4 linked regions of the Schizosaccharomyces pombe genome follow. The gene in region 1 interacts genetically with each later gene. Each region holds a gene or a part of one and is shown in the gene's direction. Other genes may lie near its edges. The genes, in order: pph3, psm3, rdp1 and rad21.

Region 1 (5,794 bases):
TTTCGTATCCCTAAATTTGTTAAGAACCTAAAGTTTGACAACACACTAAAAAGGTTTTCGTAATTTACGATGTAAAGGTGTGGAAAATTTTTTAGAAGGTAGCACCAATATTATTGGCTGCTTTTGCAAAGCCAAGTGACTGCTTTTTTTCAAATACTTACTATAAAAAGGCATCGTCCGCGATTTTGAAGACCATCGACGATACTCCATAGGATCATTTCTATAGTATACGTCCGGCTTGGGTTTCCTAACCTAGCCACAGAACTCAACACGGATGATGATAGAAGGCACCGTTGCCCGCAGAGTGAGAATTTTTACTTCTTTGAGGATGTGCTGATCGATTTGGCTTTTTGCTTAATTGTTGTGCTATCTTTATTTGCGATGATCTCTTACATGATATGTTCCTTTTGGTCGTGTCATGTAGGGCAGCTGGTGTTTTCTGACGTGTTTTCTGTACATTTCTTTGTAACAATTGTCGTGAATCGTTTGTGAGAATTGTTATAACTTGATGTGCATAGTCAAAAAGTGTGTAGATGATGAGCTAAGCAGTATTCGGTTTTCATGTAATATGTGAGCAGTAGGCATTGTTCGTGAATGAGAATCTGTTGTTTTTAAGTTGTGAAATAAAATGTAGAGAAAGGTGTAGTAGTCGATTAGTTCTTTTGTGTGGATACTGGCGCAGTTGTATTGCATACTCTAATTGTTTATTTTTTCTGAAATTTGGGGGTACTGCTAAATGGTAAAGTGTACGAAGTAATAGTTGCAATGGTAGTTCTGGCTCCTTTGTGTATTCTTAATTAACCTGGTTGCTTATTATGCGTTATTTACTTGCTTAAACTCATTTTATGTTATATAGTTTTATTAACATTTGTTTTGATAAGTTGAGGCGGTTAGTTAACAAAATTAAATTAACAGAAAACTAAATCTGCAATCGTATTATTATCTGATTATCCAATTTAAAAGTTATCTTTCACAAAATCATCAACATAAAAGAATGATTAAGGATATTAAAAGTACAATTCTTCATATGCACAGATAACAATTAATTGGGAAGCATCTCTTGCAATTCACCATTTTCAATCATCTCCGAAACAATATCTAAACCACCGACGAATTCACCTTTAATGTACAATTGAGGGAAAGTTGGCCAATCGGAAAACACTTTAAGACCTTGGCGTACAGAATCATCAGCCAATATGTTAAAAAATCCATACTGAACGTTTTGCTCACGAAGTAATCCAACGAGCTTACGACTAAAACCACATGCAGGTTCTGAAGGAGTACCCTTTAAAAAGAGCATAACATTGTGAGCATTTGTTAGCGTGCTCAACCTTTCATTTAGTTCAGAATCCAACCCATTTGGAGCTTTAGAGGTATTGGAAGTAGTGTTGGTAGTCTGAACGGAATTTACTTGAGTTTCCACGGACGCGTTGGTAGAGGATATTTGGGAGATAAGGGGTTGAATATACTCGTCAATAGCAGCCTTCAATTTTTGAGGATTTGCCCCCGAAATTCTAGCCAAAACTTTTGCTCCGTGGATTAAAACAAATAGAGGAACAGCGTTTACATCAAACGACTCTGCTATATCGGAAAATTTTTCAGCTTCAATTTTTAAGAAAACGGCATTTTTCGTGTCCTTTGCAAATTGATCAAAGACTTGGTTCATTTGCTTGCATGGAGCAGCCCATGGTGCATAAAAATTGAGTAAAATTATTTGCTCTTTTCCATTTTGCAATATCTCTTGAAATTGTTCAACAAAAGTAATTTCGACGCTCATTTCCAATCAAAATAGCACAGCTTGAGGAATTATTTCTTTTCCTACTTTTTTTTTCAAAAACCTAGTTTATTCTTTTTAATCAACAATCAACGCCCTATTTTTTCCTAGTTGGTTGTCGGCAGGTTCGGCTGAGCAGTGTAGAAAACGTATCTAGTAAAATCTCTTCCTTGCACAATAGGCGACGCAAATGATATAATTGCAGCAAAAAACATATCCAAGTAAATTACTCGAAATTTTTTAGTTAAACCACTTTTGATGTACGTTTTGATGATTCTTCTTCACTTTTTTCATTGTCTATTCATTAAACGGCATTCTCGATCTCATTTTTTTAATTACCATCGTGACTGATCAGATAACTTTATCCCTCGGTATTAAAACGTCTGGAAAATAATTTTTTCGGCAAAAAAAACTAGTGTGTTGCGCTTATACTCCGATTCTACGTAATACCCAAACAATTCTGTTAACATTTTATTTTTGTATGTTGTACATAAAATTAACAGTCGCTTTACTAGCCAAATGAGTTTATAACAAGCGACCAAAACAACCAAGATGAGATATGTTTCATACTTGATAAAAACAACAGCATACACATTGATTGATATAGTTAAAGTATTAAAAAATTGCATTGTACTGCTCAGGGCAAGCATTTCTTACACACCTCATTCTTTTGATAGTACGCAAATTGCAGTAAACCATATTGAAAGATAGAAAGAATATATTTCTAAAATCTTTTTAGTTATTTGAACATCTTGAGTTGCCGACTGAACATAAGTAAAGAATAGTATGCAAATTATGTTAAAGCTTCACATAAATTATGGGTTTGCAACACGAATTGACTATACAGTTTTTCTATATTGAGTGTATATTCCGCCACAGGGGTACGCCTTCAGCATACAGATTATTTTACCTATAATTGTGAGTGTTATCTGATTTTTACCAAGAAGCTATAGTGTTATGTAGTTTATTTCACAAAAACCCTATAACATCAAAGCTGCGCATTTGTGCGAACAATTTAGATCCGTTAGAACTATAGGAGTTTTTCTTATAATCTAGATATATATATGAGTAGGTGCACGTTCTTGTATTAGCGTTATAAAAACTCAAGATCAATGATAATACGGCATGCTATAATAATCATACTGGAGTAGCATGCAACTTAATTAAAAGATTCTAGTTCATCATTAATTTTAAGTATAAATGATTAAAAAAAAACAATCTAATACAAAAACTTGTGTCCATTTCATTTCGAGATGAAAGCACTAATAATGGTGGAGCAACCGTATTTTTCTGAAAAACAATCTAGCGTAACGCAACGTATGTGTCAATAAAATTCGGAAGCTGCTAATTAAGGAGGTCATGTTAATTATTTTAAAAGTCATTATCAAAAGGAAAACCGAATTTTAGTCACCAAAGCTCTACGCGTCATACCTCTTGACAGAGGTATTTTGACTTATTTAAAATTAAATTTCTTAAATGATACATAAAGTTGAAAAAGAATTTCACTTGTTTATTTTCTTATTCTAAAGGACCAAGTTATTCTAGTTTTCTTTACTTTATGTTTTGACGAGTTCAAAATGACTGATTTAGATTTGGATTGGCAACTTGAGGAACTGGAGAACGGAAGGTTAATTCCAGAATCAAATGGTATGTATAATAGTATTTATAGAATAACTTTTATCTCCGTCGATATAACAACGATCATTCATATTGGTTGTTCTTTGCCATAATTATAAGAATGGGGTCTAACGTTTTGTGGTAGTTGTTGAACTTTGTCAGCGTGTAAGAGATATTTTAATTGAGGAATCTAACATACAATGGATCTCATCTCCTGTAACCATTTGTGGTGATATCCATGGCCAATTGCATGATTTACTGGAGCTTTTTCGAATTGGTGGGTCATGTCCAGGTACAAAATATTTATTTCTAGGGGATTTTGTTGATAGAGGGTTTTACTCTGTAGAAACATTTCTCCTGTTATTGACTTTAAAATGTAAATATCCGAAAGAGATGACCCTTATCCGGGGAAATCATGAATCACGACAAATAACACAAGTTTATGGATTTTATGACGAATGTGTAAGGAAATATGGTTCTGCCAATGTATGGCGATATTGTTGTGAAATATTTGATTATCTTTCGCTTGGTGCTTTGGTGGATGGAAAGGTTTTTTGTGTGCACGGTGGACTTTCACCAAGCATCAGCAGTATCGATCAGGTATGTTATTAATTCCGAAAATTTGAACTAAACTTTTAACGCTTTTTATGAAGATTCGACTGTTGGATCGAAAACAAGAAGTTCCGCATGAAGGAGCAATGTGTGATCTACTTTGGTCAGATCCAGAAGATATTAGTGGATGGGGTTTATCTCCCAGAGGTGCTGGATTTTTGTTTGGTGCCGACGTTTCTGAAGTTTTTAATCGCGCTAATGACCTTTCATTCATTGCTCGTGCTCATCAATTGGTTATGGAGGGTTACAAAATCCATTTTTCCGATAAAGATAAACAGTATCCCAAATTTACAAATGAAGAGGACTCTGAGCTGGATTCAGATTCTGCCTCACCTGTTGATGATTCTCCGGCACCTGGAGACATAATAACCATTCCAGAAAAGGATAAAGGAAGCGTGGTTACTGTTTGGAGTGCACCCAATTACTGTTACAGATGTGGAAATGTTGCTTCTATATTACAACTTGATGAAAACCAAACGCAATCCTTTAAGATTTTTGGTACTGCCTCTCAAGAAAGATCTGGCATTCCAACAAAACGACCCATTGCCGACTACTTTTTATGATTATTCAAAATTCATTGCTCTACTTCACTTCCCCAATATCATGTATATAGGTCAACTTGTACTAAAGATTATCCCCTTAACTCTTCTTATTGGTCTCTCATTTTTAATTCTGCACTTATTTAATTCTTGTTTATGGAATTTGGTTATTTTAGCAATATTGATTTGTTTAGGACATCATAAATTTAAAAAGTAATTAAGTTAAATTTTAATTGTAACTTTTTTAAGCTAACTTTCAACGCACAAGATTGTTTAGTCGCTTTCTGAAGGTAATTTAAAGTAGATTGCAAAATGCTCGGTTTTCAAACATTAATCCTCATTTGATCGAACTTCAAACCTGAATTCAGAAACTGGGGTGATGAATATCATTTTTTAAGCTTAATGCTGAAAATTTAATATTACATTATTGAGTCAGCTGGTTTGAGTCTTTGTAGTTTAGACTGCACCCCAATTCAACAAATCCGTTAGCCAAAAAATGAAATAAACAATTGGAATTCAGCCTCTGTTTCAATCACTGAATTGTAATCTAATATCATATATTGAAGTCAATAGAATAAAGTCAATGATATACGAGGTATAAACGTAAGAACACCTACATCTTAAACATTCGATATGATAGAAACATTTTTTTCAAATAAATTCTAAGTAATACAGTATCACAAAAAAAAAAAAAAAAAAGATAACGAAGTGCTTGCTGGTATATTAATGATTGTGTCTTAGACAATCAAGTATTCGTGCAAGTAGTATACATTCTGCCTTAAATTAAATATTTAGTCATGAGTCATATAATATACACAATTATGCTCTACCTTTATAAATGCAACATTTACTATTTGATTTTATGATAAGAGTAACCTGTGTTTACTAGTGCAATTTATCTTGGTGTTATACTGGATTTTTGCAGCTCTACCCCAACATCCGCCTAATCAAAATCAAACGTATAAAGTTGTGTAAAGAGATTATTTACTTCTTTTTTTGATACAATTCTTGTATTTAATTTTTTGATTACTGCCTTAATGGCGTAGGTTGTTCAATTCATGAAATGGCTATTACCTTGAACCTGTGGACGCACGAATCATCATTGTTTCCAAACGATGCAGTCTTAAATTATGATTTAGTACCTTCTGCTAAACCTGGTGATATTTTTGAAATAAGGGCCCAAAATGGTGATGAAATCGCTTTACAGCATAATCACTCAAGCACAGGGAAACTACATGCTAAACGTGAAAAA
Region 2 (8,261 bases), on another chromosome or scaffold:
CTTCAGGAAATTCACAGACGACAAACCTATGAAAATTGTGTAAGATCCATTGTGGACGAATTTGTGGGACGCCTGGAGAAGGAACAACAGGCGGAGGCGAAATGTCGTATCGATTTTTTCAATCAATATGGTGATTATTTACCCCAGACTCTATGGGGAGCTGTAACAGATCCTCCTTTACATTTTGAAATTATAGAGCACCAATATACAGAATTGCCAAACGTAAAGGTAATTCCTGATAAAAACGATAAGAAATCGAAGCAACGTGAAAAATCTTCTACTACAGCCTCTAAGCGATGACCCTGTTAGCCATATTTTACGATTTTTAAAGTCTATAAACGTATAATGATTTTAGTTATGCTACTAGTTTATGAGTATTGTATAGACTTTTCCAATAAAGATAATTATATAAAATAACCGTAATTTTTTCCCCTGATTACTTTTTTCTTCCAGATTGTTTTAGTTTGCGCTTCTTCTCATACTTCGGAATCTTGGATTTTCTTTTCTCAGCCTTATCTTCTTTGGTTTTTTTTTTCCGTGCCCTCTTCTCCTCCGGTGTCTCCTTTGCACGTCCGTTTCCTTTACCTTGTTTTGCAGATGATTTTGAATCCGAAGTCCGTTCTTCTTCATTTTCCATACTACTTATAGAATTTGCATCATCATCGCTCTCCGAAGTCTCATTTGGGAGGATTTGATCGTTTTGATTTTTTGTAGTGTCATTTAAATCCAATTTTTGAAAGTCTGTATTTAATAAGTGCTTATATACAAGGCTATTAACACCTCCGGCGTTTACGATTTCAGTATCTCGATCAATGTCGTATACCTCATCTAAAGTCCGAGGAACATAAGTTTTTAAGAATTCCTCTTCGTATTCTTCTGTAGTAGGTTCTTCCTCATAAATTGCATTTAACCGGGTTTTCATGGCTTCCTTTTCACAACTTCCTTCTTCAGTAATGAATTTAAATAATTGAGGTAAAGATAAGCAACCAGCATTCAAACGCCTAAAGAATGTAGAAATGTTTAAAATATCCATTCTTAAAAAATCGATGCTCTGCGGGTGGTCATGTTCAACCGATTGTGATACATCAATAAAATAAACTTTACCTTTATGATAAAGTAAATTATATTCTGACAAGTCAGCATGCACGAGATGACAAACATGAAACAAAATACGCATATTCCGTGCTACAAGCTGATATAATTTAGTAGCCTCACCAGGCGTCATATCTATATCCTTTAACTTGGGGTATGCCCATCCTTTCTTGTCCCCCAGAAACGACATAAGCAAAACGTGCTGCTTCAATAAGATTGGCTCTGGGCAAGGAATACCAGCAGCAGCCACACGCTTCAAGTTTCTTATTTCTTTTTCAGCCCATAAGCGTACCATTTTTCGGGGATTGCGCTTGTTATACCCATGACGAAAACGAAATTCTCCAGAAACATAGCGGTCACGATCCTTAAATACTAAGATTGAAGTCTTATAAATTTTTATAGCAAAATGTTTACCATCCTCGTTTGTTGCATGATACACATTTGCTTCCTTTCCCGTGCTTATACAACCATTAATTTCTGATATAGTTCCATTATTTATTAATTTTAATAAAATCATTCGAGTACGGGGATCCAGCACTTGTTCAGATGTAGCGCGGTCACTTTTATCCTTGATAGATGACTTGTCTTTATTTGTCAGTACTATTAAACATGAAAATGTAAAAGTGTGAAGGATCAAAAGACCTCGAGTTCTAAAACCTATGAGCAGTTAAACTATATTACACTTACCCTCTGCCTCAAACCTGTCATTTAATTTTATATTATTCACATAACGACTAAGCGTAGAAACGTGATCATTAACTGAATTGATCTTAGAAGAATTATTCCCAAAATTTTCCTGTCTAGCAGAATAATCTAGTAAAAATGTTATTAATGATCATGAAAAATGGTAACAAAAATTCATGCAAAGTGCTTTTGGCTATTCAGTATATGAACTTACTTGAAGAAGCTTGATTCCAGTCTATATCGTCTTCCCTAAAGTAATCATTGTCAGAGCCATCACTAAAGTCGCTATATTCTGATTCTTCTTCATTTGTCTGTGCATCGTTTTTTAACTCCTCAACCATCTTAAACTTTAAATAAATCAATAAAAGAATAATTTATTTAAAAATTTGACAAAGAACTGGATACAAATCCAAGTTTTTGTATTTTGTAGGTGGTAGTAAAAACTTTTTGTTGTAAATAAAACTGGTATATAAAAATGTAAGAAGTTAGCAAATTATGATTACCATAAGTTACAAGATGATTTTTGCAAACCAATGATTTTTTTTTTAATTTAGTGGATTATATTTTTTCCATTCTTCGATCAATAAAATATATATTACATTTCCAAAAGACATTTAATGTTAGTGTGAGCGGCTTTCCTCATTAAAGCTTGACAATAAAAAGTCAGATAGAAAAGAAACAATACATAAGCTCATATATGCATTTTTTTAAATTCATTACTGAAACGCTGACGCTCAAGAGCAGCTTGCTTATTTAACACTAATGCATACTTGGCATCTAAAAAATCACATACTCAATTAAGCTAGCGCGCTTTCTACCAATTTGATTGTGCATTCCCAGTAGTTTAATAAAGAAATATTATATTTGGAAATTGATGCGGCAGTAAAGAGAAAAGCAAACGATCTTCAGTTAATACAGTTTCATATAGAAAAAACATAACAAAATCAACATCAACAACTCAAAGAATTTCTCATCTTGGTTAGTATGAATGAATTATTATGTTGTAGATTCTTAGAACTCTGTTACCACAAAGATTGATACTTACACGCCATAAAGAAGACACGCGACGCGTAAATACTTTAACCCAAACCAACCACAAATCTATGTATATCACAAAAGTAAGTAAAGCATTATAGAACCCCAGTTAACTGATTTATTAAGATTGTTATTCAAGGGTTTAAATCTTATAAAGATTATACTGTAATAGAGCCTTTAAGCCCTCACCACAATGTAATTGTGGGACGAAATGGATCTGGTAAAAGCAATTTTTTTGCTGCAATTCGATTCGTATTAAGTGATGCGTATACACATTTAAGCCGTGAAGAAAGACAAGCTTTGCTGCATGAAGGCCCTGGTGCAACTGTCATGAGCGCATACGTTGAAGTTACGTTCGCTAATGCTGATAATCGATTTCCCACCGGTAAAAGCGAAGTTGTCTTGCGTCGTACAATTGGATTGAAAAAAGACGAATACTCTTTGGATAAGAAAACTGTAAGCAAGACAGAGGTTATTAATCTTCTCGAGTCTGCTGGGTTTTCAAGATCCAATCCTTACTACATTGTTCCTCAAGGAAGGGTCACATCCCTAACCAATGCAAAGGATTCAGAGCGTTTAGAACTTTTAAAAGAGGTTGCAGGTACTCAAATTTATGAGAACAGAAGAGCTGAATCCAATAAAATTATGGACGAGACAATTCAAAAATCGGAGAAAATTGATGAACTTTTGCAATACATTGAAGAACGGTTGCGTGAGTTAGAAGAGGAGAAAAACGATCTTGCAGTTTATCACAAAAAAGACAACGAAAGAAGATGCTTGGAATATGCTATTTATTCTCGCGAGCATGATGAGATTAACTCCGTATTGGATGCCTTAGAACAAGACCGGATAGCTGCACTTGAGCGTAATGATGATGATTCGGGTGCTTTCATTCAAAGAGAGGAACGCATTGAACGAATTAAGGCTGAAATTACAGAGCTCAACCACTCGCTTGAGCTTTTACGTGTTGAAAAACAGCAAAACGATGAGGATTATACCAATATTATGAAAAGTAAAGTCGCATTGGAATTACAGTCTTCTCAATTATCACGTCAAATTGAATTTTCGAAGAAAGATGAGAGCTCAAAGCTCAACATACTTTCTGAATTAGAGTCAAAAATCTCTGAGAAAGAAAATGAGCTTTCAGAAATTCTTCCAAAGTATAACGCTATAGTATCTGAAGCTGATGATCTTAATAAAAGAATCATGCTGCTCAAAAATCAGAAGCAATCACTTTTGGACAAGCAATCGAGGACTTCTCAATTCACTACCAAAAAAGAACGTGATGAATGGATCAGAAATCAGCTCTTACAGATCAACCGTAACATTAATTCTACAAAGGAGAACAGTGATTACTTGAAGACTGAGTATGACGAAATGGAAAATGAACTCAAAGCAAAATTATCTCGTAAAAAGGAAATTGAAATTTCCCTTGAATCTCAAGGTGATCGAATGTCGCAACTACTTGCTAACATTACTTCAATTAATGAAAGGAAAGAAAATTTGACGGACAAAAGGAAATCTCTGTGGAGAGAAGAAGCCAAACTTAAGTCGTCTATCGAAAATGTTAAGGACGATCTTTCTCGTTCTGAGAAGGCTTTGGGGACTACAATGGATCGGAATACAAGTAATGGTATTAGAGCTGTCAAAGACATTGCTGAACGTCTGAAACTCGAAGGTTACTATGGTCCACTTTGTGAGCTTTTCAAGGTTGATAACCGTTTCAAGGTCGCTGTTGAGGCTACTGCTGGGAACAGTCTATTTCATATCGTGGTAGATAACGATGAAACCGCAACTCAAATTCTTGACGTTATATATAAAGAAAATGCCGGTAGAGTTACGTTCATGCCTTTGAACAAGCTTCGTCCAAAGGCGGTTACTTATCCTGATGCCAGTGATGCTTTACCTTTAATTCAATATTTAGAGTTCGATCCCAAGTTTGATGCTGCGATTAAACAAGTTTTTTCGAAAACCATTGTTTGTCCATCGATTGAGACCGCCTCCCAGTATGCTCGATCTCATCAATTAAACGGTATTACTTTAAGTGGTGATCGATCTGACAAAAAAGGTGCATTAACTGCCGGGTATCGTGATTATAGAAATTCCAGGCTGGATGCTATCAAAAACGTTAAAACATACCAGATCAAATTCTCGGATTTACAAGAAAGTTTGGAGAAATGTCGTTCCGAAATTGAATCTTTTGACCAAAAAATTACTGCATGCTTAGATGATTTGCAAAAGGCTCAACTAAGTTTAAAGCAATTTGAAAGAGATCATATTCCTCTTAAAGATGAACTCGTAACTATTACTGGAGAAACAACAGATCTTCAAGAATCAATGCATCATAAAAGTCGTATGCTTGAGCTTGTTGTTTTGGAACTACATACACTTGAACAACAAGCTAATGACTTGAAATCTGAATTAAGTTCAGAAATGGATGAACTTGATCCCAAAGATGTGGAAGCACTAAAGTCTTTGAGTGGTCAAATTGAAAATCTCTCTCATGAGTTTGATGCCATCATTAAAGAACGAGCACATATAGAAGCAAGAAAGACGGCTCTTGAATATGAATTAAATACAAACTTATATTTAAGAAGGAATCCATTGAAAGCTGAAATTGGTTCTGATAACAGAATAGACGAATCAGAATTGAACAGCGTAAAGAGATCTCTACTTAAGTATGAAAACAAATTGCAAATTATTAAATCTTCATCTTCTGGGTTGGAGGAACAAATGCAAAGAATCAATTCTGAAATAAGCGATAAACGAAATGAATTGGAATCGCTAGAAGAATTGCAGCACGAAGTGGCTACCCGAATTGAACAAGATGCAAAAATTAACGAAAGAAACGCAGCAAAGAGAAGTTTGCTTCTCGCACGGAAAAAAGAATGTAACGAGAAAATTAAATCATTGGGGGTTTTGCCGGAAGAAGCATTTATTAAATATGTTTCAACTAGCTCAAATGCTATTGTGAAGAAACTTCATAAAATCAACGAAGCCCTTAAAGATTATGGAAGCGTTAATAAGAAAGCATATGAGCAATTTAATAATTTTACTAAACAACGCGATTCATTGTTGGCTAGGAGAGAAGAGTTGCGTCGTTCTCAGGAGTCAATTAGTGAGCTTACGACAGTACTTGACCAAAGAAAAGATGAAGCAATTGAGCGTACCTTTAAACAAGTTGCTAAAAGCTTTTCTGAAATATTCGTTAAACTTGTTCCGGCAGGTAGAGGTGAATTGGTTATGAATAGAAGAAGTGAATTGAGTCAAAGCATCGAACAAGACATCTCCATGGACATTGATACGCCATCCCAGAAAAGCTCGATCGACAATTATACAGGTATCAGCATAAGAGTTTCTTTTAACAGTAAGGATGATGAACAACTGAATATTAATCAATTGAGTGGCGGTCAGAAGTCACTTTGTGCTTTAACTTTAATTTTTGCTATCCAACGCTGTGATCCTGCGCCTTTTAATATACTCGATGAATGTGATGCTAATTTAGATGCACAATATCGCTCGGCCATTGCAGCGATGGTCAAAGAGATGTCAAAAACTAGTCAATTTATTTGCACTACTTTTCGGCCTGAGATGGTGAAAGTTGCGGACAATTTTTACGGAGTAATGTTTAATCACAAAGTTTCAACAGTTGAGTCGATTTCTAAGGAGGAGGCTATGGCATTCGTTGAAGGATAAAATGGTTATGGTTTGTTAATTTAAGTTCGCATTTTTCTTTTTAATTTCTTTGCGTGGACAAACCGATCTTTTTGCTATTAGTCATTCTTTCATTAATATCTCTGTTATTTAATTTTATCATACTTAATTTATAATTTTTATATTCATGATGCAATTGCGCTTGAATCAATCAGTGCGTATTACTACCAGAGTTGATACTTTCACATATAGTTTTTTTAAAGTTCTAATCCCAATGGAGAGTCATTTTAATAACTTTTTCCAGATTTCTATTTGTATTCAAAAAATCGAAAGCATGTCGTAGCGTTAAGACTTGTATAAATTCGCTATTTTAGACCTCCAGTCAGTGCTCTTAATTCGCGACAGTACTTACTACATTGTGCGAACAAGATCAAAGGCAGAGCATCTATATCCATGGAAAACCCTCCATACCATGTATCTATTTCCAAATCGGAAGGTGAATATTTTGAAGCTTGATTGATTTTTTCATTTACTAATGAATACTCAGAAATTAAATATCGCCAAAAGTGCAAGGATTTAAAGGCTAGAATTCAGGAGATCCAAAAAGGAAATCAGGAGTTATTAAGCAAATATGAGGTTATTCGAAGAGCTGTCAAGCGTGGCCGATTAGAAAGAGCTATCTTAATGGAACAGTTGGAATTGCAAAGTGAAGCAAAATCTCGCGAATTTGGACAGCGCTCTGAGCCATCTCCTCCTGTAAGTGTTTTTATAGAGTGAATTTATTGTAATACTTGTACTAATCATATGTAGCCTCCTCCCGAAGGTATTAAAATCAAAATATCAACGAAAGGCGCTGGAAACCCGTCTGCCAAGAAGTTAAAGATATCTACAGAAGAAACATCTGATACAAACGTAGCATTAAACAACACGTCGGAAATATCTCATAAATCATCAAATAATTCCCAGCCTAAAGATGCATCCGTCAATGACACAGATGCAGACTTTGAGCAGCAAAATCAAGTTGTTCAATCAAAAGATGAAAAAATTACGAATACTGATCCAATACCTTCTCCTATTATTACAAATCTTAAAACAGAAAGCTCAAAATCATCTGGAGCTAAAAAAGCTACTTCTAATGCCAAAATTACAGACACAATGTTATTCAACCATTTTTCGTCTATTCAAAAACCAAAATTAAAGGCCGAAGGCTCTACCTTGAAGGGACAAGCTTTGAAGAAAACTCTTGAAGATACATGGAATAATTTGACCGAAGAAGAGAAGAAACCTTATCATGAAGGATTGCTTGCAGCGCGTGAGAAGGCCAGAGAAGCAAGACGTCGACGAAGTGCGCAAAATTCAGCAAAACTAGAGAAAGAGAAAGCTAAAGAAAAGCAAAAGGATAAAGATCAAGAACAAGACACTGTTAGTGATAAAAATCAGATAGATGAGATAGAAAAAGGGCAGAAGGAAGTAGATGAAGAACCTGTTTCTGAACCCACCACTTCGCCTATTTTACCTCCAAAAAATCAAGAGCCAATTCGTATGGGAGGATTCACCGTTGTTAATAGATCCTCTAATGCTTAAAAAGAGCTTTCTGATGCAGGCATCAGATCAATGAGGCAATGCTTAAACTTTGTGTCTCAATATTAAAGGTTGGATTAGAAACTAATAGTTTGTCCACAATATATTTTCCTCCTCCTTGCCATTTGCAAAACTTTTTCAAGGTTCCGTTTTCTCTTCACATTATTTACTACCATTTATTCTTTTTTTTTGACTTAAAGTCATAAGATTATCAA
Region 3 (8,282 bases), on another chromosome or scaffold:
TTTAAATCCAAGTTGATGAAGTAAAATTTCCGTCACCTTTCGCTTTCTATTGTGAAGTTTATCTGCAAAAAATTCGGCAAACAACTCGTTTAGATTACCACGCTCTAGCTTATTTTGTATCAAAGCCAAATTTCTAATAGCATCCGTAAACTCTTGTAAGCTAATTTGTATGTCGAGATGATCAAATTGCATAGATATTTCCTTTACCATGTTTCTCTGTTTGGCATAAGCCTGAAGGATGTCCTGAGTATCCAGATTTTTACAAAGGACTTGAAAGGATGTATACGAACACATATCGGCTTGTTCCGATTTAGTATGATATTCTAGTTCACGACTAAATTCGAGATCTTCATCATGCTTTCTAGACCAATTTTCTAGTTCTTGAAGCTGGTGATGGCGAGCCTGACGAACCATATAATCCCTTTCTTCACTATTGTGTACTGCCAACAATGTGGTCTTATTGTTATGGTTAATTGACAGTTTGTATAGAGAGACCTCTTTCTCCTTCTGCAGCATTTCAGCACCTGCTGGTCCATAAGTTTCAATTGAAGAAATAGAAATTTCGGTTAAATTCCAATTATACAAAACCTGCTGCTTAGCAGGGAAATCAACTTCTTTCATGTGAGAAGTAGTAACCAACAGTCTATCATTAAACAGAAGCATATTGACAAGAAGCTTAGGTCTCTGATTGTCAATATTGATTAACATCCAATTGTATTGCTCACATATAAGCTGTCTTTGAGGCGCTTCCCAGAATGCTTCATCTAGCCCTTCAATGGATGATCGTAGTCTCTGTACCGTTTGTTTTATTGATTCGTCGGAAGGGTCATGCGTATGGTCGACCAAGTTTAATCCTTCAATGTCAGTCTCCAGGGTTTTCAACAGAGACTGAAACTTTTTAAAATCTGAAGTCATGCTCTCAACCTCCCCTGATATAAATACATATTCATTCAAATTTTTGTAAAAATTCTTTTCCAAATTTTTACGGACGCCCATGTGAATGCGTAGAAGCTTATTGTATAAAGACACAAATTCATCTTCACTAAGGTCCTGTAAAACATCGTTTAAATCTTTTTTGCAAAATTAGTTTCCAATAGACATAATTACACATACAGCTTTGAGCATCAAAATTTTGATTATCGAAAAATTTAGGCTGTAAAAAAACTTCATTTTGTGAAATGATATGTTTTGTTTGCCGTTTTTGTCGATAAATATCATCTGTTTTAGAGGTACCGACTCGTAATCGCGTCGGTGACTTTTAAAAAGCAGTTTTAGTAATAGGTTGTTTTTATTTAACTTCAGTACATACCTGTCTTTGGCTTTCATTTGGTATGGACTCCGAAGCAACACTTAAATGATTAGATTTCCTAACAAAAAATTAGCTCAAACACCCGATATTCTCTAGCTGCGTACATGAATTCATCTTCAAAAGAAGATGGATTGTCAGGCATTTTTTTTTCAAGTTTCTGATAGAAGAATAAATATTATGTATCTAAAGGATGTTAAATTGAATGCTTCACATTTGAAATAAGTTTAACAATTTACCAATTAAAATAAGGGAATGAAGAACCTATTTGTGGTATTTACAAATAGGAATAATAAATTAATTTATCCTTGAGCAATTGCTCTATTTTTAAAAATCTATTAAGTTGTTTGCTTTGCCGAAGTAGTTGGACGTGTTTGTAAAATCAAGCGCTGACGAGGGGTTTGGAATATCAGGGCTGCACTTAATTTTGAAACGAGTAAAGCTACGTAGCTCAAATTATATACCATGCTTAAAAAATAAATTTATAGTAAATATCAGCTAGATATTATAACACGATATTGAACATGAATTAAGGTGCATGATATCAGTCGTTTAACTGATGGAAGTTTCCTAACAATTTTTTATTCCTTGGTGAAAAAACTACCTCAATATCTGCTTTGGATTGAAAACTGAAATTCAACTTGCCGGTTCATATAGGATGAATATGTATTCTTAGTATTTTGATTCTACTTCCCTATACGTAAAGGAGCCTTCACTTAACTTTATTCCACCGTGCTACAAACTTCCTTCAAGAGCAATTCATAGATATTGATACTATAACGGTCAATTAAATTAAAAAGGCACACATATACATGTATGTATAAGTGGATAAATAGGAACATTATAATCTTTTTTATATAAATCGAAGGTTTTTCGTATCTAACGAATTTATAGCCAGCTGAAAGGAATCTTCTATGATAAAAGACCACTTCGCAGAGCGAGGCTGCTGATACTGCATAAAGGCGCTATGAGATTTAGTGTTTTATTTTTACAAAAGGTTCCAAATTGATTTGTTGTCAGGGTTATAATTAAATCCAGATTTTGTATGGCAATGTAAAGCAATGGCAGTTTCGTTAAATGACTTTATAAGTGTTAAATTAAAACGTTATTCTCGTGAGTCACCCTGGGAAAGACTTAGAGTCCCATATAGAAACAAAAAGCAAAAGAAATGGGCTTCCGTTCACAATAATGAAGCTCAGTTGCACTCGGCTAATAAACGAAATGATAATTGTCTAATCCAAAGAAGTAGTACTTGGAGATTGGGGGATATGATTACACTTGTCATAAAAGATATTCCAGTTACTTGGCTTTCAAATGAGGGAGGAAAACTATACAACTTGTGGGAACCCCTTCATGATTACGGTACAATAGAATTCATGAAGATTAATGAACCTTTGAATGGACAGACAAGTACTACTGCAATAGTCCAATTTGCTCCTCCTCCCAAAGTTCCATTCTGGGAACCAAATGGGAAAATAAATGTCAAAGGTGTTGATCTAGCTGTTCAAATTGACATAACAGCACATCGTTCCCACATCAGCCGACAAGTTTTCTCTAAGAATAGTTTTAGAAGCGATCAGCTAGTAAAAATCCCGTTATCCTCCTTTAAGCTCGGGCAAGTTTATGATGAAAGAATTGTCCCACTGTTTGGTGTTGATTGTGGAATAACTGTAACTGAATCAAACTTACTTGTATATTTTAATTTCAAAAAGCTCTGTGTTCTCTTTGATGCTTCTTTTGACAAACAGATCGAAACCTTTCGTCTGGACTTCGATTTTCATTCCATAATAGGCGATGTAGGGACGGATTATTACGATGATCATATTTCCCTCGTATTTAGATTTAGATTTTCTCCACTAATTTTCAGAAAATCTAAAAATGCAACTGAATCCAGAGTTCAAACTTTCTGGACTGCATCTCATCTTTGGAGACGACATTATGATATTCTACCTTTCAATGTTTCACCAACGACTGCTAGTCCTATAGAGCTACTTAATTGCCATAACGCCCCCATTGGACGCTGCAATGTTTTAGTCCTTAGCTTTTCCATAAGGGATGAGTCTGATAAAGATGACATTGCCTTTCTTTTACACAACTTGGAAAAATTCAATTTGAAAAGTCAACTTGATAAAGTGGTTTTCCATCTTGTCCCAGACTACAAACATCGCTGTAGTCTAATAAATGATAAAGAAATTGAGGAAGAGATTGCTTATCTTTTGCAGGCTTGCCTTTCTAAAAACTTATTATCAGAAATTGATTTGCCCATTATATTGGCGAATTTAAAGAAATTATCGAAAGAGAGAGCAAAAAAATTCCTAAGACTAATTCTAACGTCCAAAACCGCTTTAATAAATCCTTCTGAGCTAGATTTTACTAAGTCTTTTGTCTTTTACGATTTATCTTCCGCTTCTTCTATTCACATTAAAAAATTGTACGTTACACCTACTACTCTTCGAATAGTTGAAGACTCATTAGAAGCAGGAAATCGTGTTATAAGAAATTTTAAGGACTTTGCAAACCGTTTTATGCGTGTGCAAATAACTGATGAATACTATAAGCAAAAAATTCGAGGCGGTTCTGATGGGTTTAGAAATGAAAAATTGTATTCTCGCATCCAACAATTATTAACCTACGGAATTAAAGTTGGTAATCAAATTTACGAATTTTTAGCTTTTGGAAATTCTCAATTAAGAGAGCATGGTGCTTACTTTTTTGCTTCGGGATCTGATCTAAATGCCAAACAGATCAGGGAATGGATGGGTGACTTTAGTGAAATCAATTCAGTATCTAAGTATGCAGCAAGGATGGGACAATGCTTTTCAACGACAAAGGAAATTAATCGATTTTGTGTTGACATATCCCTTCAGGATGATATTGTTCGTAACAACCACTGCTTTACTGATGGGGTTGGAATGGCATCATTATCTGTAATTCGAAGACTTTCTTTGGAAGTAAAAAATCATGATATGTTTCCCTCTGCGTTTCAATTTCGTATGGGTGGTTATAAAGGCGTTTTATCTTTAGCTCCTCCGACTAAGCTTGAATACCATCAAGGAAATCTTGTGTTTCCACGCCGTAGTCAAGATAAATTTAAATCATTCCATAGTACCTTGGAAGTTATTAAAATATCTCGATTTTCAAATGCCCATCTGAATATGCAACTGATCACCTTATTGGAAGGACTCGGGGTTGAAAAAACCGTATTTTTGGAATTGACTAGAAGTCAGTTGTCAAAAATGAACGAATCGATAAACAGCAAACAAAAATCCATTTTAATGTTACGGGACAACGTAGATGAATATCACTCTACTTTAATTATTGCTGATTTTATCCAGGCCGGTTTCCTTGAAAGAGATGATGCTTTCACCGAGAATTTATTAAATCTATATTATGAATGGGTTCTTAGGTTAATTAAGGAAAAACAAAAAGTTAGTGTTCCAAAGGGTGCCTATTTACTTGGTGTAGCTGATGAAACTGGAACACTAAAGGGTCATTATGATGATGCTGTTTTGTCAGTACCTGAAATTTTCATCCAAATTACCGACACTTCTACCAGTTTTGGTTCATATTCAACTGGAAAGCTGAAAACAAGGGTTATAGTTGGATTGTGTATTGTTGCAAGGAATCCCTCGCTTCATCCAGGTGACGTACGTGTCTGTAAAGCTGTCAGATGCGATGAGCTTATGCATTTAAAAAATGTGATAGTGTTTCCGACAACGGGTGATCGAAGCATTCCTGCTATGTGCTCTGGTGGTGATCTGGATGGGGATGAGTACACAGTTATATGGGATCAACGTCTTCTTCCTAAAATTGTTAATTATCCCCCATTGCTTGAATCATCTCCCAAGAAGTCTATAGATTTTTTGGAAGGAAAGCCACTTATCGATTCGGTAAAAGAATTTTTTGTGAATTATATAAAATATGATTCGCTAGGTCTAATTTCAAATGCTTGGAAGGCATGGGCCCATGACCATGATAATAATCCGGAAGGGATATTTGGAAATGTGTGTTTAGAACTTGCAGAAATGCATTCAAAAGCTGTAGATTTTGCTAAATCGGGAGTAGCTTGTAAAATGCAAGCCAAATACCATCCCAAACGATATCCTGACTTCATGCAAAAAACAAAAACTCGTTCTTTTCGTTCCGAAACCGCGGTTGGCAAAATTTTCAGATACGCTGCACGATTCCAAAGAGAAAGTGGCAGACCTGCAACTTATAATCCGATAATGAATACTGTTTATGATCCTTGTATGAAACTTCCAAGGTTTAAAACTGAATATCTGAATGTAGCTGAAGAAGTGAAGAAACACTATGATAATGACCTGAGATCAATTATGGCTCGTTTTGATATTTCCACAGAATATGAAGTTTACACAGCTTTTATCCTTTTTAAAGATGATTTAGCTAAAACCGTAAATGAATATGGTCTTAGGGAGGAAGTTAGCTTTCAGTTCGACCTTCTAAAGAAAAAATACACTCAAGAGTACTTAGAGAAATGCGCTTTATCAAATCAATCGGCATTTGATTCTTCGGAATATGAAGAACGGATAAACAGTGCGGTTGCTGCCACTTACGATGTGACATACGATCAACGTGTCAAATCTGTTGGCAATGGCACTACTGAGGTATTGATTTCATTTCCATATTTATTTTCTAGTCGTCTTTGTCAGCTTTCACGAAAAGCCATGCTTACTGCTAATAATTTTTAAATCGAATATACATTCGAAGCTTTAATTGCTCGTAAAAGGCTAATAGTAATTGTACTCATTATCGACAATGGAACATAGAACAGCAAAACAGGTAGCTAGAGTTAACATTTAACAAGACTGTTGTATGTTTCTGCTGAAGGAAAAGAGTTGTCATAATTTTTACACATATACTCGATGGTTAAAGCAATTTAATCGTAATAATGTATAATTAACGATTTTTATATCTGCCAAGCTTAATCTAATTTTCACCATTAATTTAAGTAGAATAATTATAAAATTTTGTAACACGAAACAAACCAAAACTGTAAAGAAACTACGGCATGTGAACTCCAATTCAGCTTCTCCGGGCAAGATAAATGCTTTAACCAACCCATTTTCTAGCAGATTGGAAAAGACGGATCCAAGGACCATGAACGCCCCACTCGCTAGCTTTCGAATGAGGGTAATAACTGTTTGCAACTTTCAAAACTACACGTTCAGGGTGAGGCATCATAGCTAAAAAGCGACCACAAGGGGAGCGAACACCAGCTATAGCATCTCTGCTTCCATTAGGGTTGAATGGATAACGGCTAGTACGCTCGTTGTAGTTGTTAACGTAGTATATCAAATCCAAACCTTCCTTCTTAAATTGTTCGTAATCGGACTCTGAATCGAAAACAGCTCTACCTTCTCCATGGGCAACGACCACGGGTAAACTAGATCCAGCCATACTTTCAGTGAAAATGGATTTTGAACCACTTGTTTCATCGATCTTTAACATAACTGCACGACCTTCGTATTGCGCTGACTCATTAAATGTAAACATAGGCCAGCTTTTAGCTCCTGGAATAAGTGATTTCAGACGACTGAACAGTTGACATCCATTACAAATACCCAAACCAAATGTGTCTTTACGCTCGTTAAAGAAACGGTAAAACTCATTACGAGCATCTTCGTGAAGAAGGATGGAAGTAGCCCATCCATTGCCAGATCCTAAAACATCACCATAAGAAAACCCACCACAAGCAGCAATACCGACAAAATCATCCAAATGAACTCTACCGCTGAGGATATCAGTCATGTGAACATCCACGGCAGTAAAACCGGATGCATAAAAAGCATATGCCATTTCCAAATAACCATTTACGCCTTGTTCACGAAGAATTGCTACTTTGGGACGACTAGTTAAAGCCAAATCAGCGGTAACTGACACATTTGGATCAAATGTAAGGTGGTATCCTAAACCAGGATCATTATTATCGGCAATATTTTCCATTTCCTGTCGTGCACATTCAGGATTGTCACGAATTTCTTGCATTTTATAAGAGGTTTCATGCCAAATTCCGTGTAATTTAGAGCGAGTTGATTTGAAGATTATTTTACCAGAACGGCTAAAAGATATTGTTTGAGCCTGGCCGGAAAGTACTTTACCGATGCGATGAACACAAGTACTCAAACCATTAGCAGCAAATAACTCCAATACCTTGGCAATGTCACGATCACAAACTTGAATTACAGCGCCTAATTCTTCATTGAACAAAGCCGCAATATTATCGGATGACAAAGAATCTAACTCACATTCAATACCAACATGACCGGCAAAAGCCATTTCACTAAGAGTAACAAACAAACCTCCGTCAGACTTATCATGATAAGCCTGAATGTAGTTGGTTTTATGCAGTTGAGTAATAACGTTAATGAAATTCTTGAAAGTGTCTAAATTATCAAGATCCGGCACCTCATCACCCAACTGCTTATAGGACTGAGCAAGTATAGAACCGCCTAAACGTTGTTTTCCATTTGCTAAATCAATAAAAATCAATGAGGTGGATCCGATGTCCTCAACTTTACGTAATTGCGGAGTCCAAATGGAATAAAGATCATCAACAGGAGAGAAGCCAGTAATTATAAGTGAAAGAGGTGCAGTTACGGATTTCTCCCTACCGTCTTCATTCCATTTCATACTCATGGACATTGAATCTTTACCCACAGGAATGCTAATACCAAGTGATGGGCACAGTTCTAAGCCTATCGCTTGCACTGCTTCATAAAGTTTTGCACCTTCTCCAGGATGCGAAGGAGCTGCCATCCAGTTGGCGCTAAGACGAATACGATCTAAAGCAGGAATAGATGCTGCTACAAGGTTCATAATACATTCAGCGACAGCCATTCTAGCGGAGGCAGCAGCGGATACTAACGCACTGATTGGCTTTTCACCCATTGCGAGGGCTTCACCAGTGTTAATTCCCTTTCCATAGGACGTGACGGTTACGCCAACGTCGGCTACA
Region 4 (7,845 bases), on another chromosome or scaffold:
AGAACCTGGTTCGTAAGAGTCTTCGAGTAAAGGGATAAGGTTGTAACGGGGAAGGTTACCATCGCTAGTAAATGGTTCATTGCAACAAGCTTTAGAAAAGAGGTTGATAACCTAACCTTGGCCGGTCATATCCATTGCATTGTGCTGACCGACAAACGTAAGCACGAGACCACCAGTGATGAAACTGGCTTGGACAAGGAAAACTGGATCTGAGCCTAACGTTTGTTCATCAGGATCTCCTGGAATCGTTTTGCGAGGTGCGAAAATACTTTCGTTCAGCATACTGAAAGGAAAATCGGCTTTTCTGAGCGCGTCCATGGAGGGTATAGAAGGGACATGCTGAAGATCTTTGACAAAGAAAGGAGGCGTTTTCTCATACGGTTTAATCTTGAATATATTAAAGCTTTTTCCTTCTGAACTTTCGTGAACAACCTGACCAGCTAGCCACGGAAAACTGGCTGACAGACGCTCAAGTCCATTTGTCAGCGTCTCAATAATTGCTGAATGTGAGGAATCATCATCGACTATTGGAAAACAAAAGGATATCTGGGTATAGATTTTAAGTGATAATTGCTGTGCTAAAACATCCGCGAAATCATAGTTGTTTCATCCATGATATTGGTTGCACTAATATGTAGTGGGCTGATATAGCGTACATGGGTATGGTATGGGTACGACTCTCTGTAGCAGGCTCAATTAAGCAGCTTGCTTAAGAAAAGGAACTGTAGGGTTTCTCAATACATTTTGCCAACTGAAGGACCATGTAGCATTGAGTATTTTTTGTAGGTTACAAGGTAATCGCGGCAATGTGAGTTACGTGTTGAAAGAATTTTGGAGTCGAACTCAAGTCCAGCAGAAATGTCTATTTTTATACATATTGGCTCAACCTCCATCTACACTCATATGTTAAAATGGTTAAACATATAACGCACTCAAGCACATTAGAATCCATCAAAAAAACAATCAAGGGTTACAAGATGAACGTTTATGGCTTAAAAAAAACCATCTCTGCATCTAACTGCATCAAGAATTCTTAACCCAAATAATGTACGTCGAGCTATTAGTAAAAGCCTGTTTTTGTTTATAGTCTTAATGTTTAACTAAAAAAGCTGGGTCTCTAGGGAAAAGTATACTATTAAAATCAGCAAATACGGTATATTTTAGATTTATAGTCATGATTATTCAATAATTCGTTCAATATAAAAGGCATAACAAAGAGTAATAGGCACTGCTAATAATTGTGCATTTTTTGAAATAGTCAGAATCCTCTGGAGAATAAAGTGCTATCTTCTTATCAGATGAAGATAAACTCACTTAGGCCTATCAAGCAAAACGTAACTTTAGTAACAAAAGGAGCTTGAAGATCTTAAAGATAATTTGTATTAAATCATAATTGCTAAATAAATTAATAAAAGGGAATATGTGGTATTGGAGTTTCGCCCGTAATTTTGGCAGTTAAAAAATGGCGACACGGTTAAAACAAGTAGGTAAGGGTGGGTAAGTAGTTTTGAAGATGGAAAGAATATTGAAAGGTTGCAACAGGTTAGGCTGTAATTTAAACAAGTAAAAAATCACTTTTTATTATATTCACAGTTTTTTGACTTTTTTTTTTTATTTTCCAGTCGTTATACAAGGATCGTCGTAAACTAAGATACAACAGGGTAAGTTACTCATCGCTTTCAGGTAAACAAGAACACTGTCTTTTTATGATGATTCATTTTGAATTCGGACACAAAAAGCAGAAACGGGAGACCCAAAGAAATCAAGCTTTTCGTACTACTTCAAACCGGAGGAATTAAGTCTTAAACGGTTCAATAATGCATTTAATATGGGCAGAAGCACATAACGATATCCCACACTAGGAAAGCCCAAAGCAAGGCTAATTAATCCAAGCAACGAACCAAACGTCAAACTAAACATCAACGAGAATAAAAGTACAATTAGGCTAAATTTAAGAAATACACTTTGATGTTTAAACCATTGATAGCCCTCTTTGGATACCTCTTCAATAGACGAGTAGCTATAGCGCGACATAAGACTAGGACGACCATCATTTTCTAGATGTGGAGATTGCCCAATTGGAGATTCATCCTTCAATTCTCTTTTGATATCGATATTCTGTTCAGTCATTTTGTTTTGTGGCAATTTAGTTTAATATTCAATGTGTTCCAAAAGAAAAATAAACGTTAATAAAGGTAACTGTTGTATTATTAGACAATAGTCCTTAGCAATCTATTTAAATGTAACAATTGCTTTAGTAATTTATACTTTTTCTCTTTTAAAGTCAGTGAACCGTTGTTGGGAAAAGTCAAGAATCAAGGTTAGAAACATATACGTATTCATTTTATTTACGCCTTCCCCCACATTGGATATTGCCAACAATGAACAATGACATTAAACTTCTGCAGAGGCGAAAATAATGCTATACATTCATTTTATTTATTAAAATGATTTATGAGCGAATTGCCTTCTTCCAACAGTCAAACTCGAATTCCCCTTCACTAAAACATACGGGAACTGTTTTGCGCAGTGTCCACTATTGGGAAATGGAAAAATCGAATTTGCTAGACGAATATGGATGGAATTCTTGTCTATTCCTTTTTCTATTTTTTGTTTGATTTTTTAAATAAATTAGCTTGTTTATCGAATTTATCTGGATGGGGTTTATCGTTAAAAAAAAACACCCTACCCAAAAAAAAAAAATTTATTTATTTTTATAAGTATTTTTATTCATTAACCTTCTTCTGGCATACGAGTCACAATCAACCTTTTAATTTTGACAATAATATAATAGAAATAAAATAAATTTTCAGTCGTGGTAATTTCTATTACATATTCGTTTAATGTAATGTGTTTTGACATTACTAAAATGGGATGAAAACATCCTTTTACGAGTCTATTTAATCATACAGAAAAAATGGCATTGAAGATGCAATTAATGAATGGAATTCATTTGATAAATGTATTCAATGGAAGGATAATGCTTCCAAAATAAGGATGGTCAAAATTTAACTCAAGATTGTTAAAACAAGGTTGTAATCGGAGTTTTCCGTTTTATTGAAAAACATATCCCCTTATGTCTTATGACTATTTTAATTGAATAACATAATTCAAATGCCTTTTGTTGCCTTCTATGCACATATGTGAACGTAAATCTAGCGCATCATTTTATAATACAGTTAGTAGGCCGAAACATACAAGCATATAACAAAGATAAATCAACTTCTTCGAGGAAGCATATTCCCTTGATCATGCTCAACAGTTTCTAACTTCAATACAAGCTTTTTTTATTCATTTATTTAACTATTTGTTGCTACACATACTAGTTTGTTTATGTATCATATTCATTGTCGGCATGGCAACGTGGATTTATTTACGCGCAGCGCGTACTCATTTAACCAGCACCACGTATATTCATTTTTACAAATACCCAGCTTATATCGTAGTGAGGAGGCGAATTTTGCGAAAGAAAGCATTTCTTTCATTTTAATATTTATTAATTTTTTGTTTATTTTTGTTCTTTTTTGATTCCCCTCTTTTTTTTGTCTTTACTCTTTAATTTCTTTCTATCTTTTTCTCCTAATCATATTAAGCTTCTTATGTTCTATTCAGAGGCCATTCTTTCAAAAAAGGTATGTAGTTTATAAGTTTTCTTTAGCGCGTAAACAGTGCTAATTTGTCTTTGAATCGTCTGACTAACTGTTCGCGTTAGGGTCCTTTGGCCAAGGTATGGTTGGCAGCTCACTGGGAAAAGAAACTTTCCAAAGTGCAAACTTTGCACACCAGTATTGAGCAAAGCGTCCATGCAATTGTCACGGAGGAAACCGCTCCAATGGCCCTTCGCCTATCAGGACAACTAATGTTGGGTGTTGTTCGCATTTATTCCAGAAAGGCTAGGTATTTATTGGAGGATTGTACGGAAGCGTTGATGCGTTTGAAAATGTCCTTTCAACCGGGTCAGGTTGATATGATTGAACCAGCTACTGCTCTCCAATCTTTAAAAGGTAAAGATGCTGTGACACAGAGCGCTAATCTCACTCTTCCTGAGACAATTACAGAGTTTGATCTTTTGGTACCTGATAGTACATTTGATTTTCAATGGTCTCAACTTCTTCGTACACCCTCTCGTTCTTCGAACACTCTTGAACTACATTCTTTACCAATATCTTCCTCTCCTTCTTTTCCATCTTCCCAGCTATCAATTGAGGCTGGACGAAATGCCCAAGTAGAATCAGGGTTTTCCTTGGGCGAATCATTCGCACATGTTGGCAATGATATGCAGTTTCATCTTCCCATTTCAAATTCCGGTGCTGCTACACCTAGAAGTGTGCACTCTGATAATCAGTCCCAAATTTCTATAGAAGTAGGTAGAGATGCTCCTGCTGCTGCTGCCACCGATTTAAGTGGAATTATTGGGCCTCAAATGACTAAGTCGCCGGCTAGTTCAGTCACTCATTTTAGTACGCCAAGCATGCTACCAATAGGAGGAACTTCATTGGATGATGAATTGTTGGCTCCTGTTGATGATTTAAACCTGGATTTGGGCTTAGATGATCTTTTAGGAGATGAACAAGGTGCTAATGCTCCGGCGATAGAGGCTGATGAACAAGCTGAAACATCAAGTATTCATCTCCCTTCTGACATTATGGAAGATGATTCATCTCGTCCTGCAGCAGCAGGAGTAGAGGAAGGTCAGGTTGTTGAAAGCGCCACTGCTCCTCAACAGGAAAAGATCAATCCACAGAAAACTGTACGTCGTCAACGTGCAATTATTGATCCCGTTACTGAATTGTCCTCCAAGCAAATGAAAAAACAATTGGCAGATACATCTTCCATCACCTCACCGTTATGCTTGAATACATCTTCCATCGTGTTTAATGCCACCGTTAATTTTACTCGAAACGGTAAATTTAATACTTCCATATTTTCTTCCAACCTGAACCCTAAAGTAAACGAGCTTTTGCAAGCTGATTTCAAACAGGCAATTCTAAGAAAGAGAAAAAATGAGAGCCCAGAGGAAGTCGAGCCTGCCAAGCACCAACGTACTGATACCTCAACTGAAAACCAAGAAACTGCTGAAGTCTTGGACCCTGAAGAAATTGCAGCCGCTGAGCTTGCCAACATTACTGAAGCCGCTATCGCTACTTTACCACAAGAAACCGTTGTTCAACCAGAAGGAGAAGCTCCTGAGCTTGGTTCGCCAATGGGATTTCCTGTTACTGCCTTGGAATCAGCCGATGATTCACTTTTTGACGCTCCTCCCGTAATGCTGGACGAGGCCGATTTGCTGGGAAGCGAACGATTGGACTCTTCGGTATCTGAGGCCCTTCCTAGTTCACAAACAGCCAAAGATTCTCTACGCAATAAGTGGGATCCTTATACTGAAGGTGAAAAAGTATCCTTCCAAACTCTTAGTGCGGGATGCAATAGAGAGGAAGCTGTTCAACTTTTCTTTGATGTCCTCGTTTTAGCGACGAAGGATGTTATATCTGTCAAGCAGGATGTTGCCATTCAGAACGAAATCACGCTTACTGCTAAACGTGGAATGCTACTTTCATCACTATGAGAGGTCGGTTAATATTTTTTCAAAATCCAATTAGATCTATAAATAAGTGTGAATACTTACACGAAATAGATTTTTATGACAGTAATATTGTTCATTGCTTTCTTTTATCTTTATTTTATTTTTGGAATCACGAGTTGTATGTCTTTCTTTTTCCGAGTTACGATATTACTGTTGGATGTATGTAATATTATCAGCTCAACACAAAGTTATGATTAGAAATAGCTTACGCGCTTTTTAATTTATTCTCAATGATTGATCTATCTCTTAAAAATCTTCCTTTCAATGCGATGATACGGGTTTACTAGGATTGAATATATAAAGACAATATGATCATATTATATTAGGCGTATCTTTTTTGTACCCAATGGTTGAGAATTTGGAAGCGAGGAAGCTACGGTAACTTGCATACCTTTGGAGCGCGCCCAATCTATTGCATCTCTAGAAACAGAATCACAATTAATAATATCTATACGTTTTAATTCTTTCAGTCCTCGTAAAACTGCTATAAATCCCGATCCATCGAGGGATATTGAATTTGAAAAGTTCACATACTTTAGATTTGGACAACAATCAGTAATGTGTATTGCATGCTTATTTTGAAGAGCAACGTTATCAGGAATCTCAAGATGCTCAAGTTCCGGTAAAGATGCAAATATTTCAAAGAAATGGGGGGCCAATGCTAGCGAATCGTGTAGAACCAGCTTTTTTAGTTTGTAACAAGAAGTCAAAAATTTGACAACATTATCGATATCATTTTGAGATAAACGAAGATAAAGAAATAACTCTAAGTTGATTAGTGATTCCATCCGGACATTTGTAGGGAATAAATATGGACATAAAATTGTAGATGCAGGATTGCAGGGTTTCACAATTAACGTGGTAAGAGATTGAGGAAGGAATGCTAGATCTTTAACAGTATTCGATACTCCTTCATCAATGATAATTAACGATCGGAGATTAATTTTATATTTTTTTATTGCAGCAACTAGGTCTGACTGATATGAGGCTTCCAGATATTCTAAATATGGACTGGCAGACAGCAAGTCTTTAAGAAATTGCTGTTCTTTATGGTGAAAGGGAAACTTTTGATTTCGGATAAACGTCAAAGATTTAAGAGCCAGCGGTACAGATTCTGCATTAAAGAGTTTATCCCAATCCATAGAATCAAATATCAAATCGGGAATTAAGTCAACAAGCTCAACCTGCTTGAGTTTCTTACAGCAAGATAAAATCTTAGAAGCTATGGAAAATGTTATAGGAGTAGCACAATAAAAGTAGTGAAGTTCAGAAAATGGCGTCCAAATTGTATACAATTTATCCGTTGACTGAGTGTGGAGAGGTGAAATGGTTTTGTAGACTTTAAGTGATTTGACTGAACGAAGTAAGGCTTTGGTAGGTGTTAATATACCAAGCTTCTCTAAGCCAATTACTTCCTGTATATTGTCTTTTGAATAAACAGAGTATCGAGCAACAGCCATAACGTTTCGATCTCTAGAGTTTACACTTCGAGGAGAGGCGCATGAAAAGTCTAAGCAACAAAATAAGCTAGGTTCTTTCTTAATACAGTCTCTCCAGTGTTTGCAGACTTGCATACACTGAACAATACTTTTGAAATTTAGTTGCTGTAGAATACATAATAGGACTTCTCGGGGAAGAATGCGAAACAAATCTAGTACCGGCCTGGTCCGAAGAATTCTTTCATTCAATCTTTGGCTTACTTTTTTTAATACCGGTCTCAAGGGATCCATTTTATGCACCATTCGCAGGCCTTGCGTATACAATTGATCTGCTTTCTTATCAAAGCCGTCAAGCTGTAAAAGTTTTCCCAAGCGTAGGTAACCTCTAGCATTTCTTGCATTCAAATGAATCATCCGTTTAGCATCAAGTTCTGCTTGTGAGTATTGACCTGACTTTTCGTAAACTTGAGCCCTTAGTTCAAACAAGTCAATCGTAGGATTGGGCTCCTGTTCGATGGTTTTAGTAATGAATGTCAATGCATCTTCAAACTTCCTTTTAGAGAGATATTGCTGGGTCTTCTCCTTTATTGCTTTTACTTGATAGTTATTCATGAATCCAAATCTTAATTTCTATACCCAACGATTTATTTTTTCTATACATAAACATAAACCTCCCATATAGCTTCCAATGAACCGTATTTTAAGAACCTCGATATCCTTTTTGAGGTATATATTATGCTTTCGTAGTCGCAAGCTTTATGGAGTAAGTTAGAATTGTTAAAGGATAGTTAAAGCTAGCGCCTTCAAATTTCATTTAAACAG

Evidence for each region.
Region 2: mutations in pph3 (region 1) and psm3 impair growth when combined (synthetic growth defect), as found in Schizosaccharomyces pombe (one study listed by BioGRID).
Region 3: mutations in pph3 (region 1) and rdp1 together harm fitness more than expected from each alone (negative genetic interaction), as found in Schizosaccharomyces pombe (2 studies listed by BioGRID).
Region 4: of pph3 (region 1) and rad21, a mutation in one rescues a mutant of the other (synthetic rescue), as found in Schizosaccharomyces pombe (2 studies listed by BioGRID, with this or other methods).

The regions. Positions count from the first base shown.
Region 1 is NC_003423.3:3,953,487-3,959,280, reverse strand, and holds pph3 (serine/threonine protein phosphatase), read left to right. Parts: upstream 1-3,194; 5' UTR 3,195-3,351; coding exon 3,352-3,421; exon of another isoform or gene 3,422-3,536; coding exon 3,537-3,991; exon of another isoform or gene 3,992-4,025; intron 4,026-4,044; coding exon 4,045-4,566; 3' UTR 4,567-4,729; downstream 4,730-5,794. Other genes in the region: CIA machinery monothiol glutaredoxin Grx4, read right to left, coding at 1,043-1,777; GATOR1-SEACIT GTPase activating complex subunit Iml1, read left to right, coding at 5,606-5,794.
Region 2 is NC_003424.3:1,219,455-1,227,715, reverse strand, and holds psm3 (mitotic/meiotic cohesin complex ATPase subunit Psm3/Smc3), read left to right. Parts: upstream 1-2,857; 5' UTR 2,858-2,879; coding exon 2,880-2,894; exon of another isoform or gene 2,895-2,937; coding exon 2,938-6,507; 3' UTR 6,508-6,747; downstream 6,748-8,261. Other genes in the region: autophagy-associated protein kinase activator Atg17, read left to right, coding at 1-300; rio1 (RIO family protein kinase), read right to left, coding at 437-1,677, 1,780-1,905, 1,991-2,117; Ino80 complex HMG box subunit Nht1, read left to right, coding at 6,919-6,961, 7,013-7,221, 7,276-8,049.
Region 3 is NC_003424.3:1,322,886-1,331,167, forward strand, and holds rdp1 (RNA-directed RNA polymerase (RDRC) Rdp1), read left to right. Parts: upstream 1-2,055; 5' UTR 2,056-2,120; exon of another isoform or gene 2,121-2,200; 5' UTR 2,201-2,367; coding exon 2,368-6,015; 3' UTR 6,016-6,176; downstream 6,177-8,282. Other genes in the region: exo8 (exocyst complex subunit Exo84), read right to left, coding at 1-1,070, 1,114-1,255, 1,310-1,367, 1,414-1,451; phosphoribosylformylglycinamidine synthase Ade3, read right to left, coding at 6,377-8,282.
Region 4 is NC_003421.2:1,339,493-1,347,337, forward strand, and holds rad21 (mitotic cohesin complex non-SMC subunit Rad21), read left to right. Parts: upstream 1-3,400; 5' UTR 3,401-3,599; coding exon 3,600-3,632; exon of another isoform or gene 3,633-3,712; coding exon 3,713-5,566; 3' UTR 5,567-5,901; downstream 5,902-7,845. Other genes in the region: SPOM_SPCC338.18 (uncharacterized protein), read right to left, coding at 1,777-2,130; F-box protein Pof3, read right to left, coding at 5,902-7,635. UniProt on the Schizosaccharomyces pombe protein: Cleavable component of the cohesin complex, involved in chromosome cohesion during cell cycle. The cohesin complex is required for the cohesion of sister chromatids after DNA replication.